Linked DNA regions of Rhinolophus ferrumequinum. The protein of the gene in region 1 purifies or fractionates together with the protein of each later gene. This does not show direct contact. Links are inferred from orthologs where the notes say so. Each region holds a gene or a part of one and is shown in the gene's direction. Other genes may lie near its edges.

Evidence for each region.
Region 2: the proteins of ZMYND8 (region 1) and HDAC2 purify together in Homo sapiens (affinity purification with mass spectrometry; 4 studies listed by BioGRID and IntAct, with this or other methods). This does not show direct contact. The link is inferred for Rhinolophus ferrumequinum from reciprocal best matches to the Homo sapiens genes ZMYND8 and HDAC2.

The regions. Positions count from the first base shown.
Region 1 is NC_046306.1:11,178,680-11,186,604, forward strand, and holds the start of ZMYND8 (protein kinase C-binding protein 1), read left to right. Parts: upstream 1-4,847; 5' UTR 4,848-4,896; coding exon of another isoform or gene 4,897-4,936; coding exon 4,937-4,955; intron 4,956-5,128; coding exon 5,129-5,264; intron 5,265-5,596; coding exon 5,597-5,665; intron 5,666-7,925. UniProt on the Homo sapiens protein: Chromatin reader that recognizes dual histone modifications such as histone H3.1 dimethylated at 'Lys-36' and histone H4 acetylated at 'Lys-16' (H3.1K36me2-H4K16ac) and histone H3 methylated at 'Lys-4' and histone H4 acetylated at 'Lys-14' (H3K4me1-H3K14ac).
Region 2 is NC_046286.1:65,450,340-65,457,511, reverse strand, and holds the start of HDAC2 (histone deacetylase 2), read left to right. Parts: upstream 1-4,159; 5' UTR 4,160-4,443; coding exon 4,444-4,495; intron 4,496-7,172. UniProt on the Homo sapiens protein: Histone deacetylase that catalyzes the deacetylation of lysine residues on the N-terminal part of the core histones (H2A, H2B, H3 and H4).

The DNA.
Region 1 (7,925 bases):
TTCCATAATGGTAATTGCTGGGGAGTAAAAAGAGCAAGGAAGCAGAGGTTTGAATCATCTTCCTTTTGATTTTCATTTTCTTCCTGCACCTCTTACATCTCTCCCCACCCACACTGGGCCCATCTGCCTGATGGTCACGTACCATCCCCCACTGCCCTCCATTTGCCTAATCCTGCCAGTCCCTCCTAGAAAGAAGTGGAAAAAAAGAAAGAAAGAAAGAAAGAAAGACCTTCCCTAGGACACATCTCCAAGGGAGGGAGTCCTCATGCCTGTCTGTGGCCGGAACATGACTGCATGCTCTGAAGGTGAGCCCTTCTGTCACCATGCCTGAAGTTGGCCTCCGTTCCAATTGGCCAAAAAGGAACAAAACAAGATATTTAAAACACGTCCCTGCCTCAATCCTGTCCGTTTCACATAACGGACCAAGAGGCCTGCTGCTCGCTTCAGGCAGATAACTCCAAGTGTGCTTATTTTCATAGGCAGCCGAACAGGCTATCTCGGGACGCAGCTTGCCGAGGCCGCGCCCGCTGCTGCTCTCCTGGCTGCAGGCCAACCGGAGTGGAGAGCCATTTCGTCGAGGCCAGGCCTCGGCTGGTTAAGGTGCCTGGGGAAGGGAGCTGGGGCCAGCCCTCCCTCTCCTTGGAGACCAGCTTTATCACCGTGACTTTCTGCCGGGCTTCTTTCAGCCTCATTCTGTCCCCCAATTTTCTCCGTCCCCTGGGAATATTAAGAGAGACATGTTTTAATCTATTTTTATTATTAGCTCATTGCTTATTAATATCACCAGGGAACCTGCTTGTTTAGGCCTGTGCTGGCTTTTCTATCCAGAGAGGCACAGTGGTTGGATTTTTTCTTCTTCTTCCTGTTCATCTGAGCCAAGGTTTCCCTACCTTGGGACAAAGGGACGGTTTGGGTCAAATAATTCTCTGTTGCGGCGGTCGTGTGTGTCTCTGTGTGTGTGGTGTCTGTGCTGTGCACTGTAGGGTAGGATGTTTAGCAACCTCCCAGGTCTCCACCCACTAGATGCCAGTAGCACCTTTTCCCCAAATTGTGACAACCCAAAGTTCTCCATACACTGCCACAGAGGCCCTGGGGGGCAAAACCACCTGGTTTTGAACCTGGTTAAGAACCACAGATTTCAAGGAATATAAAAAAACCTGATTTTAGAGAAAGTTTCCCCCCGACCTCTTGCTGGAGGTTTGCAGGGAGAGAGGAGCTTTCTCTGGGCCTTGGAATGAGTCTAATTTAAAATTCTCCCAGCTCCATCATTCAGGACTTAAAGCTCTTTCTCAAAGGAATTGACCACCTAAAAGGAAAACACAGATCACGCTTCTCTTTTGTTTCCTCCTTTAGAGGCAAGTGAAGGTACAGGGTTTAAAGATGTGGAGTCATAACTGGGTTGGAAGTCTGGTGTCTGGCACTTGCCAGCTGTGTGACCTTGGACAGCTCACTTCCCCTCTCTGGGCTCAGTTCCAGGTCTCTAACAATGCTCCCTATCTCCTGATGAAGTCAGCTTGTGCAAAGCGCTGATGTAGCATAGTGCCTGTTCCACGGTGAGCATGCAGTAGTGGGACTATTCTGTGCAGGGGGAAGTTTTGAGAAGGGCCACTGACTTGAGCTCTAGATTGAGGTCAGCAACGTTGGGCTTCTTTATTCCCTCTTATCAGCCACATTCCATCAAGCCCAGGAGTGGCCCGTAGTGGGCCTGCTCTCGGCTTCCTTTTCGATCCATGTTCCTCCCAGGATTCCATCTGCCACCATACCTTTGTCTCTGTCCCCAGCCGAATTTCTGTTTTCCAGATAACCTCAGACCTACCCGAATGCCAACAGCATTCCTCCAACAGAGCAGAGCTGCCAGAATAAGCTTGCAGCTTCCTGCTCTTTGCCCCAGAAAACATTTCAAGTGATCAAGTGATCAGAGAGAGGGCGGGAGGGAGGGGGAGAATGCTGCAGCTGCTTATGCAACCCGTTTTAATCCCGGGTTAAAATCCACCACGCGACCCGTGGCGTATTTCATTTCCTCATTGGGTCGTGAAGTTAGCTGCACGCAAATTCCGTCACAGACTCAGTCATGTCTGTTCCCGCAAAAGCAGCACCTGGGGAGACAAACAATATTCCTTATGGGATGGTGGTGGAGGGAGACCTGTCTGATTAGGTCTGGCCTTGCCTCTTGTCCCCTACTTGGTCTCCCTCTACAGGCTTCCACCCACAGGAAGAGGCGGTCCCTCCCTTCTGGTGAGGCCTGTTGTCCTGAGTGCTGGTGCTGTGGCCGTGGAGGTGGAGGTGTCTCTTCATCTTGGCCTCTTCAGCCTAAAATACAGCAGCAACAAGGTCCCCTCCCTTTTCATAAAGCGCCGGCCCAGCCCCAGCAGTACAGTGTGTGTGGATTCCTGGCTTGTTCCTGTTTGATGGAAGATTCCCAGCCAGGAAGAATTTATGTACATGCAGAGGGGGTGGGCATCTGTTGTCCATGTGGGGTGGGGGGAGAGCAGGCCATCAGCTCCATGTTTTCTTTGTGGGAACGAATGAATGGTGTGGGACGAGAAAGCCCACGGGTCCTAATTTTAGGAGGAAGGGAAGACTTTATTGGGCCATAGTTTTTTACCTCCTGGCATATGGCTGCCTCACCTCTGGAAGCTTTCTCCAACCTCTAAAGAATGGTGTTTATTTAGCTTCTGTTGTTCCAGCTTGCTGTTTTAAAAAAAATCTTAATTAAGCAGCTTGTCTTTAAAAAAAAAAAAAAGGAAAAAGAAAAATCAACTATGGACATTCGGAGAGCCTTTTGGATTTGCTTTTTCTTTCTCAGGGTACAGACCAACTACAAAGGCAGCTTTCGGGAGGAAACAGGCAAAGACCTCCTCATACTATTGAAATGGGTGAAATTATAAGCCGTTCTGAAAAACTAGTTAATATTTTACTGGGGAGCAGTGCCAGAGATAGGGGTGTGGGGGGCTGCCAAGTGTAGAGCTGTGTGTGAAATAGCTGTTCCATCTGCCTTAGGGGACGAAAAGAAGCAGTACTCTGTGGAAATAAATTTAAGCAAGAATCCTTTTAAAGCTCATGAGATTTGTCTGCCCACCGAGGGCCCAGCTCCCCAAGTACATACATACAGGCATGATTGTGACAGGAAGGGCTAAGCAGTGGGTGTAGGCCTGACTAATAATGGGGGTTCTTGTTTCCTCGTTGAGTTTGACATCTTTCTTTCTCCCTCTGGATTTAAATGGCTTCTCAGACTGAGAGGCACTGCCTGTGCCCTGGATTCAGAAGGTACACGCCTCCTTGGGAAGCAAAGGCGAGAGACAGCGGCTCACTCTCTCTCTTTCTGCATCTGCCGGGAGAGCTGCAGCTGGTATTTTTCCACAGGCCTTTTCTGCGATCTCAGGGCCTAGTCTTTCCCAGCCAGGCCCAGAGTCCGAGAGAGGGTTAATGGGCAGGAAGCTGAAGGCATCGCAGACTAATACGGAAGTCAGATTTTTGTTTAACTGACAGGTTTAGCAGGCCTCAGCAGTGGGGGAGGGGGCCGGGAGGGGAAGGGAAGTTTGTAGATCTAGGCATGTGGCCTGCTAGGAGTGCACTTGGCTTTTCTTAGGGTAAGGACTGAGAGGGCCCCCCCACCCCCTGGCATCCTGGCAGGGAGGCAGGAACCCATTTTGGTTTTCCTTTGAGTACTGGCTGAAGGGGGTGGGTGAGAGGATGTATTCTCTGCGGGGAAAATGGCTCTCTGGCCTGCTTTTCCAGGAGGCATTTTGACAATGACTATGCAAACTTGACCACTCTGTTCCCCTCCTCCCCTAAGCAGCCTGAATCCTCTGTCCTCGGAGAAGCCACAGCTGCTCTTTAGCGATTTTGGGGGGCTTGCCTGTCCTGTTTGCCCCCAACTCCTGAAAGGCCTGCCCCAAGCTCCTTTCTCCTGCCCCCTTGGCTCTTTTCCTGACGCTCCCCCTCCTCAGTTTCTCCCCCCACCCTCCGGGGGGGACCATCGACTGGATTGTTCTAGAAAAGGGCCAGCCTTCCTCCTAGCCGAGAGCCGCTTCTGTGGGGGCAGGTGAGGGTGAGCCCTTTCAGCTCACCCCAAAAACTCTCTTCCCAGTGGCATCCAGGCCTCAGGCTTTGCTGGGGCAGGTCAGGCTGGCTGCACTGGTTTGCCCGTACAGGGAAATCTAGCCAGGGTGTGGGAGAAGTGCGTGTGGGGGCCCCTTTCCCAAGTTTTTCTTGCTGCAAAAGGCCTAGCTTAGCCTGTCTTTTTCTATGCACAGGATGGCTCTTGCTCACCAGAGCCTCACAAAGATAATCGCTCAGGAAGTGTTTCAGCCAATCCCGGGCCGCCTTACACTCCGATTTGCCGGGCCAGCCAATCGGGGATGAGCTCTTATTAGGCGGCCAGATCATCAAGCCGAAGTGCCAAACCCTTTTTCTGTGAGAACTAGGAGCCTGTCCTCCATGTTTTATAAGTATTGACATTACACAGTGTTAACAATGCATCCACAGAGGTAAGCTCGACTTTTTAACCATCTTTTCTCCCCCTCCCTCTGAGACATCCGAATTGTGGGCGAGCAGTGTGATTTCTCTGTGGCTGGCTGTGCCACACTCACCCCCACAGCACTTAGGTTAACTTGGAACTGTTTAGAGAGAATTTTTTTGCTTTCTTGGGTCACATGGCTAAGTAGCCATTAGCCATAGCCTGATTTTGCAAACTGGCAAGGGCCTGGCACACCTTTTCTTCCACCAGGACATGGTGTTTCTGGAATAGTTTGAAGCTAGATCCTGGTATGCCAAAAAAGAAGGTTTTTTTTTTTTTTTTTCCTCCTCTCTCTTTCTCTCTCTCTCTCTCTCTGAGCAGTTTCCCCCCCTGCACTATTGTCTTCTCTTGTGTCACATGCCTGCTGGGGGAAGAAAATGGAAGGTGAGCAAGCAGGCTCCTCTCTAAGGAGAGCTCATGGCAGACAGCAAAGCAGGCAAGTTTTCCTCTCCAAAGAGGTTCTGGGAAGGCTGGACTAAGTTCTGACCAGAGAGGACGTGTGTTTTAAACAGAACCAAGCCCTCAGCAGAGCAGTGCTAAGGAGAGCTCCTAGCTCTTGGGGCCTAGGTGGGTGGTGGTGTCTCTACATGGTCTTTTTTCTCCCAACAGGGTTTCTTCACTTGAAACTACATTGTTCAGCCTTTTTTCCTGACTTCTGTTGCTACAGAATGTTCTTCTGCAAGCCAGCCTACAGCCAGCAAATGTTTCTGAAAGTGTTTTCTAGGCTTTGGAGGAAGTTTTTGGAGTAGGGATGGGGATTGAGGGGGGCGTGGGGGGTGGGATGTTGGACAACATCCTGCAATAAATCTGTGAGGACTCTTTGAATCCCTTAGCTTTCTATTCTTGCATGATTTTCAATGAACTAATGTATCTTTTATCCTTGTTTTCTTTTTCCTTTCCCCCCCCTTTTTTTTTTACATTGTATCATCTTCTGCCCTCCTGTGTGATAGAGTGCAGAGGAAATAAAATCATGTGTGTGGCTCATGACAGCATTCCCTATTCAGTTGTTGTGTTGTTGTTGTGTGTGTTTTTAATAATCCCATGTAACTGTTTAAAAAAATTTCCTTTTTGATCAAGTCCCAAATCTGCCAGCCTGTTCTCTCTTCTTAACTGTGGAAAAATGAGACGGTTGCTTGAACATGTTGGGTAAGTAAAGCGATCCATTTCCTCTGTGACCATGTATAAAGAGTTTGGTGAACATTTGGGGCCTGTTTGTAACAGGGGGTCTTGGCTACAGCCGTGGAGGGCTTTTCCTTAGCAGGAACCAAATAAGGGCTTTTTAATAGTGTCTTGATTTTAGGTGACTGTGTGAATCAACTGTTTTTCCTGAGAACCTGCAGCTAGGATTGAAGATTACACTTCCTGTTAACCCTCAGACAGGGGAGAAATGTGCAGTTCGTTGTGACTTGACTGGAGACCTTTAATTGGGTTTGTTTGGATATTAGAACTCTGGGTAGGTGATCTGCTTGTGAAATGTAAGAAAGTGCTTGGTCTTAGAATCACAGAACCTTAAGCCGTGGTGGGGCAGGAGCTGGTGGTTGTGGTGGTGGTGGTGGTGGTGGTGGTGGTGGTGGTGGTGTGTGGGGGTGGTGGTGTCAGTACTTAGGTTTTGGGATACTGACATGGATTGCAAAATCCCACCCACCAGCAGCAAACTTGGTTTGATTTAGGACTCACTGAACAACAGATTTCGGCCTTTTTCCAAGGCAGACCCACACACGTCTGTATGCACGCTTGCCTTTACTAATGATTTATTTCTCACTTTTTACATTTCCCCTGATCTCTTAATGCTGCAGTTAGGACTTAAGAATGAAAAAAAGTGGACTCTTGTTTAGTGTTAGCTTCAGAATTTCCCTAGAAGTTCACTGCATCAATTTCAGTCTGGAGAACAATCCAGCATGACTGTAAATGCTGGAAATAGATGCAGTTGCTGTGTTATGCCAACTTTATGGAGTCAATAATCTTTTTTTTCTTCTTTTAGTGACTATCTACCCACCTTTTAGCACCAATGGGAAAAAGGCTCATTTAATAATGATAAAGGTACCAAATTCGAGAAAAGTCTGTGTAGGGCCAGTGTCTTAGAGTAAAAGGGCAGGCAGTTAATGATGTTTTATATACTTAAAACACTTGTGCCCCACACAAGTAAGTTCAGACACTTAGCTATTTTCTTTGTTCCTATCTCCTGGCTGTAAATGGAAATTACATATTGAGGTTCTTGTGGCCTCCTCAGAAGCAATATCTAATCACAAGACTCCTGGTTTGGTGCCTTCAATGTTTGCATAATGGTGTGTTTGTTGGGCTGGAAGGAAACTGAAGGGCAAGGCATTTGTCCTCTAAAAGCTTGCATTAAAATGGCTCCCACAGGTTTGCAAAGCCAAGATCTGTTTTCAGATGTGCAGCTCCAGCAGGTTCCTAGCCCTGGACCAACCTAGCCCTTTTCCTTGGGGACTGTGGCCACCACTAAGCATGAGTCTGTAAAAAGTTAATTGCTTTCAAAGTCGCATTATTTTCCAGTTTTCACTAAGGGGGAAAAATAAATGTCTGCATTGCAGCAGGACTAGGTAGGGACAGCAGTGCTGGCTCACAGAGCAAGCCCAATGGGCTTCCTCTCTTCCAGATTTTGAACCAATAGACTTGGAGGAGAAAGGTTACAGATTGACAATTGCAGTGGCCGGACTCAGACCGGGCCTTCTGGAAATTTCTGCCATCTTTGTTCCTTTTAGGAAAAGCAGATCCTCCAAGCTGAAGAGTTTCCTGCATTCCATTCCTAGGGCATCGCCCCTCCCCCACTCTCTTTTTTTTTTTCTATCAAGGTAGAAGGTTCTCTCTCTGCCACGTTTGCAAATTGCAGAGGGAGGAACGGGACACTGGGTTGTTTCCCTTTTTCCTTCTATCTCCTCAGTCCCCAAAGAGGATGCACAGCTGCAAGGAACAAACACAGACACACTGGAGCTTTTGATCTGCCCCCCCCCCTTTTTTTTTCCTTCAAGACCCTCCAGGATGGATTCACTTTCTGCTTTGGGAAATTAAATGGCATTCACGAGGGGGAAGGGTTAGTGACTGCTTTTATTAGCTCCAGAAAATGGTCAGTGTTCCCGACTATAACTAGGAATTAATTATACGTAATCACTCCGTAAACTTTCTACAGAGTTTTTCTACTTGCTGTGCGTGCACATGGGTAGCCTGTTGGAGCCCCTTCCAGTTACTTTTTATAATTAACGACCCACAGATTTGAGTCAGAAAGAAGGAAACAATGGGGCATCTTAGATTACAAATTAGGGATGAAAACAATAGCTTCTTTTTCTTTTCTTTCTTTCCTGTAACCCCTTTTCTTTTCAACAAAACATTCCCCACTTTTTCCCCCCAGGAGAACAGTGGGGAAACGGCTTCAGGTCTTAAATAGGAG
Region 2 (7,172 bases), on another chromosome or scaffold:
CAGATTGTTTGGAACAAAAGACATAAAGTACTTCTGCTCTCAGGAAATTCAGAAACCCATGGAGAGTTGTGTCCCAACAGACACCTGTAGTCTCTTAGTAAACATTATCAGAAGCCACTAACTTCTAATTCAGATCTTACAGAAGTTAGGATTGTATTCAGCTGCATATAACAAAATCCTGACTGTAGTGGTTTAACCAAATGTACTGTCTGTTTTGGTTTGTTTGTTTGTTTCCTGAATAAAACCAGAAGTCCAGAGGTGGGCAGTCAGGTTTGGTACAGATATAAAGGAGGTCTTCAAGGAACATGCTCCCTATCCTCCTGTTCCACCATTCCTGTTATTTGGCATTCCTGTTGATGGCCCCAACATACTCCACCTCCATTTGCACAGTTCTGGTGCTCAGTGGAGAGGAGTGATTACTAGATTTAGTAATCACTAAATTTAAAAAATTTTTTTTAGTAAGGAAAGTTTAAAAATTGAGATAGGAAAGAAGTATTAAGATACATATATAGGATGATTAGGAAACACCAGTAAGTTAAGTTTTCCCAGACACAGTGTGCGTATAGAATTTTACTAAAAAGTGGGTACACGGAGATGGATTGAATCAAAGTAATACTACAAGGGTCACGGGCAAAGCATTTATCAATTAACAAGCTAACCAGGGCAACTTGAAAAGTTCAATGTAAATGAGTAATTTAGTAGATGAGCTGTGATTCAAAAATATTTTTTAACGAAAATGGGTGATTTTTATTACACAAATGCAGTTAAAATAGCACTAGAATCTTCACAGTTTGGTGCTACTATCCAGATTTAGGAGTTACAGCTTGTAATAAATACTGCGCAAAAATAGGCACAATTCTTCTGAGATCAGAATTCAGCTCAAGGCTGTTGTAGTTTGTGACAACACTGTACTGTTAGCTACTACACTTCTCTACATTATGTATTGCCTTGTGGAATTGCTAAATAGAACTTAACACCAAGAAATCTAAATTTCTTTAGAGTAGAAAGAAGCTTATAATTCTTTTATAGCAACTAAAACTTGACCTATCTGCTGCAGTTGATAGCAGGGTTTAATTTTTCGCGTAAGCTGAGACAATCCGTTTCTAAATACAGTCATGCACCCCATAACAATGTTTTGGTCAACGAAGGACCACATATATGACGGTAGTCCCGTAAGATTATATGGAGCAGAGAAATTCCTATTGCCTAGTGATGTTGTAGTGCAATGCATTACTCATGCGTTTGTAGTGAGGCTGCTGTCAACACACCTACCGCATTGCCAGTCACATCAAAGTATAGCACATACAACTACCTAGTCCCTAATCCTTGTTAATGATGATGATGAATGACTGTTACTTGTTTTTGTGTTTACTTGTGTACTTTTAATCATTATTTTAGAGTGTACTCTTTCTACTTATTAAAAAATTTTCTATAAAACAATATGCCAAGTTATGCTGGCAGCAGCTTTCATACATCTCATGTTTACCGCGTCTCTTGATTGCATCATTTCTCTTGTGCTTGATTTAATCTCCTGTCGTTTTCTACAATAACATGCTGTACAGGCTTGTATCCTAGGAGCAATAGGCTATACCATGGAGCCTAGGTGTGTGGTAGGCCATACCATCCAGGTTTGTGTAAGTGTACGCTAGGATGTTCCCACACCACGGAATTGCCTAATGGCTCATGTCTCAGACCCTATCCCCATTGCTAAGTGGTACATGACTATAGTCCTATTTCTAAATAATCCATTTATGTTTAACGGATCATTTCACTGAATAACCTCAGAAAAACTAAACATCTTCAAGGTTGGGAAAATAAGTTCATATGGACAGAGCAAGAACTAAAGAAAAAAAGTTTAAGAATAAAGACAATCCTCAATTATGCATTTTATGAATGGACCACGCTATCACTTTGTTTTCTTCTGTATATTGTCTAAAACTCCCTTTTTTTTAAATGGTAAAAATGTTTAAGAGAGAAGAGTTTGAAAATGGTAAATGAAGTTCGGAGCTTGTCAATAGGTTCAATAACTGATTCTACTTTTGATGACCTAAAGGTCATTATAGATGTTTAGGGACATAATGCTTGTGGCCTGCTCTTATCACTGGATTAAACTCCTCCAATGCCAGCTTCCAATGGTAAAATGCTTCTTTTGATTTAAAATTATTAAATAATAAACAATATAATAAGTTCCTCAACCAATCAAAATATGTGTCCAGGTTCTTCTCACAAGTAAAAGGTTAGGTGCTGTGGATGCAAACAATAATTATTACTACCATTATTATTAGTAATCATAATAATCTCATATTCATAGCTCTTTATTTCTTAAAACTATTCCATATTTATTTTCTTATTTAAACTATTCAATATGTATAAAATAAACCATTCTCCAAGTAATACTGCCCTATTTTACAAGTAAGGCAATTCAGAAAAAAAAGTTTAAGTAACTTGCCCCCAGTCATAGACACTAGAGATACAATTCTGTGCAAGACAGACATGTTTCCTCCTCTCCTGAAACTCTAGTCTAATGAGAACATTAAGAGAAGTTTTGGGCAACTATAACATGGTAAATGTTGAAGTAGAGGGGTACAAGTCACAACTACAATGTTAGGGGCACAGAAAACAGACTTGGGGGAAGGAGTAAAGTCAGCTCCCTGACTCAGCTTCACTTTCTTCACTTTCTTGAGTGAAGTCTCATTTCAGACTTCACTAAGTTGATTCTGAGAAGAACATTAGTTTCTACTAAATTAACCTATTCTATTCTTAGAATCTACCAAGCTGATTTGGGACTTGATACAATAGCAAAACTTTAAAAGTCAATACCATGCAATTAACTCTACTACCTCTAAGCTGATGTTTCTCACACTGTGCTTCCGGTACCAACTGCATCAGTTACCTGCGATGTGCTGTTTAAAATACAGAATTGCGGGGAGGGGAGGAGGATTACGGTAGATTTCGTTTCCTAAATGTCTTCAGGGTGAGGTCCAGGAAAACTGCTGTTTTAATGTGACCACGTTGGGGATTTTGAAGTCAAATAGTAAAATAAAGGGGTATCTTGGGTGGTGGCTCCAAATGGTTCCCACTTCAATAAGGCCTTTTTTCTTTTAATGAGGGTGTTGGAGAGAGTGTGCATTTGGAGAAAATTGTAAATGATATAGTTGGGATAAGAGTGCTTACATGGCAGACTGTCAGACCCCCACTCCTTATCTGAAAGGTGGTTGGCTTAGAGTAGCTGCTTGATAAATGTTGACTTGTTGAACACAGGGACACAGATATTCATAACTTTTCCAATCTTTTCTCTTAGCTTTCTGCCTCAGACTTCCAGTGCCCAGCCAGCAGCACTATAGTGGAGTAGCTAAAGTATGTGGATTTGGGAGAAAAACTGAATTCAAACCCCAGATCATCAACAGTTGAGACCACCAAGTTCCTCAATCCGTACGTATAAAGGAATAGAAATATGTCTCTGCGTTGTTGCAAGTCTCAAATGACTTAACAGGTTATTTATTATAAATAGGAATCAATTAAATACATTATAAATGCAATGGTTAGACCCGAGCCTAACACATAAGCGAGTTCCATAAATGCTCCTTCAAACCCAGGAAGTACACTATACTCCTTGACGTCTGTGATACGTAGGTTCCCTTAACAGGTCAGAACCTCAGTGCAATTATTGGTACAAAAAAAAAAAAACCACAAATAATAAATGAACAAAAAGAAAACCGAGGTGACCCAGTACAGAAGGGCCGTGGGGGACAGACTGGAGGGTCGTGGATTCCGGAAGGGTACCAAAGTGGTCTCTCCCCGCCTGGCTTACAGCACGTGGTCGGTAAGGGCGGGAGCTTCGCGACAGTGGGGGATGGGAGCGGCAAGAGACAACTCGAAAGGGGTCTGGGCGGCCAAGGCTTCGGTTGGGGAGGCGCCGACTGCGCAGGCTCAGGATAGGCGCAACCACTGTGCGAAGATCTGAAGGAGGGAGCGTTCCCCCACTCCAAGTTCCTTTTATCTACTTGAGCGAAACCCTTCCCTTTTTTTTCACTTTACAACTGTATTTTCCACCACCCTCTGAAAGTTGTTCACCAACAGAAGGGCTTTTATCCAAAGACTGAAGAGCGTTCTTTCCCTAGTTTTGCCCCTTCCTCCCCGCCGCGGAAGACAACAGTGGACACGTCCCACCTCCCCTCCGCGTCCGGAGGTGGTTTGACTTACCCCTCCCCCTCCCCAGTGTCGCGAGTTGGCGCCGCTGCCACCCCTGCTCCGCGCTTTCGGCCCTTCGGCCGGGCGGTACCGAGCCCTCGTGGCGCCCCCTTGTCTCCTCCCTCCGGCCTGCCCTTCCCCGCGGGACTGCCAGCCCCCACCTTCGCCCCAGTCCTTTTTTTCTCCCCGCCGAGTCGCGGCGGCAGCAGCAGGAGGAGCCGGAGCCCGGAGGCGGCGGTGGCCGGGGAGCCCATGGCGTACAGTCAGGGAGGCGGCAAGAAGAAAGTCTGCTACTACTACGATGGTGAGAGGCCGGGCCGGCGGGAGGGTGGGCGGGCAGGGCTGGGGCGCCAGGCCTGGAACCACGCCGGGCTCTCAGGCCGCCGTCGCGAGTGGGCGCCAGTGCTGAGGGGTGGGAAGGAGGAGGGACCGATGTTTGGCCGCATCTTAACCCGTTGCCGACCCGACGCTGTTAGTGGGAGCCCCTCCGCCGCTAGCGGCCCCGGGGGACTCCGCGGCGGTAGCCAGGTGGACGCCCCACTTTTACCTCCTGCCCCTCTCTTCAGCAGTGCAGTCCGCCGCCTCTGCGTCGGCCTACCCCAGCTTCATGGTGGTAGCGACGGGGACCGCCCTCCCTGGCGTCTCTCACTCCCGCCACTCTTGGGAGAGGACATTAGGGGGTGTCCTGCTTCGGCCTCCTGCACCCGACCCCTCCCCCCAGGTCGAAATATCTACCCCGGCCCAGGCTCCACACAAAGCCCGGCGGCCGCGAGAGCTCCGCCTCTTCAGTCCCCTGTGCTTCCCACCCCCATCCGCGCTGCTTTCTACCTCCCGCAGCCCCCCCGAGTCTGCTAGTCCTCGTGCCTTCTGCGTCCTCCGCCTCCAGCCTCACCCCGGACCCCTCGATCCGGGTCAGTGCTGCAAAGTAGTTACTGAGGGTGGTGGCCCACGTCCGGGTGAGGACACCCACTGGTGTTTTGCATGGGCTCCATCCCTCTCCTTTGTTCGCCGGGTTCTTTGAGCGCCACTTTCTCAGCATTCAAATGAAAAGGCTTCACTTCCTCAATAAAAATTAGGGTTTTCGAGTTTGAGGCAGTCTACGCGGGAAATACGACGTTGGTAGGGAAAGGTGGAGTTGTTTCTGCTTGTTTTGTTGATCAGACTCGATGGGTCTTGGCTTGCCTCTGAGAGGTGGTTACCACCCACTTCTTTGTTACTCTTTGTTCGATCAGGAAATACCACCCTGCTTTGGAGGTTTAGGAGAGCATTGGCATCTTGCTTGTGAAAACTGTTTCTAGGTGGTGGCAGTCCTGGTGTAGGAAAACTTTGAATAGTGCAGAAGTTCTAAATAATCAGGTAAGCTTGAGCTCACGTTACATATAGTAAGTAATAAAAGTCATTTTAATTTTAGGGGTGTTTTTAATTTGGAGTTGGAACAGTAACATTAAATCTCTGAATCCTGTTTCCTGAGCCAGCCTAAATGAGACTAAATCGAGTAGTCGCCTGTTCTACAGATTTCAAAAAGACATTAATATGGTAAAATGGTTATTAGTAGGTTACTCTCCAGAGAAGGAATTCTAAAATTTAACAAAGCTAGGCTTCACGACCTGAAAGTCCTGTCTAATTTGTCTGAAGCAGTACAAAATTTGGAAGCTGTTTCTTACTTATAGGTGTATTATAAATTACAACATCTTAGGTGGAAAGACCTTAGGGGACTGAGTCAGAATAAATTTGACTTTAATTTGAAAACGGCCATACTATATCAGTTCAGTTAGCAAGGATGAATCTTTTAATGCCTGTTTTTTAAATAAAATAACCACCTGTATCATTTACGGAAAAATGTAAAATCTTAACAGAAGAAATCCAAATTATCTGACTTTTTGGAAGCCAGTCCAAAATAGTAACAGCCATGTTTTAAAAATATTTTTTGAGAGGACCCCATTTATGTGTAATACAGATTGGTTTGAAATTATGCCATCGTGGAGGAGTGGAAAATGGGATTACATTTTAACATTATTAAAGTTTCTTATAATTCATTCTTTAATACTTCATGCATATTTTGGGTCACTTGTAAAACACTGGTCTTTGAATTCCTTCATCAAATTGGAAAGTAAATAACCAGGTATGTAAGTTAATTTTTAAAACTTGTTTCAAAGATTTAAAGATTGGTTCTTGTTGGAGCTTGGGGTAAAAGAGAAAGTTATAAAAAGGTTGGGGTAACTAGTGCTAAGACTCTTCCTGAAGCTGTTAGTTGCTGTTGACTCTGATAGGCTCTGATGAAGTAAGCTGTTTGTAACTTCTTGTCACCAAACTTGAACTGTAGAAAGAGGTACACTTAAGTAGCAGTTAAGTGTACAGCTGCCCATTTTTGGACACATTTATGATGAGCCTTTGTTGAGGGAATGGGAGCAAGCACTGGTCCCAAGGGCAGGATGCAGGATTGATAGGTAGAGTGGAAATAATTCAAGCCTGGTGATTGTGACTTAATACTTTATTGTAGACCATTCAACTGCTTTACTTGATGGCCAACAACAGGTGTATAACTGAATGTTTGGAAATTAATGATTAGGTTTACTGTCTTTAGTCTATGGTTCTTCCTTGGCTCATTTGTAGAATGGAATTTGCAGTTGCTTATATTTGGAATATTTGGGTTGCTGGGAGGACTAATAAAATATTTTGCAGAGATTATTAAATTGAATAGGCATCATGCTAATTATTAATATGTGATAGTATGCTAAGCTCTGCACATTTAATTACGAAAGTTTACATTTTTATTACCAAAACAACTATTTTGTCAACTTATGTATAAAAGTAGCAGTAATGGTATCTTTCTTTTTTTAATTGTGAAGAAAGAGGATGCAAGTAAAGCAGCTTCTGCACCAGAGAATTCTGTGACTCGAAGGTATATAACATGAATTAGATTGGGAGTGCGTAGTATCAGTAGTAATAGGGCCCAAATAATTTGCTAGGCTAAATTAACT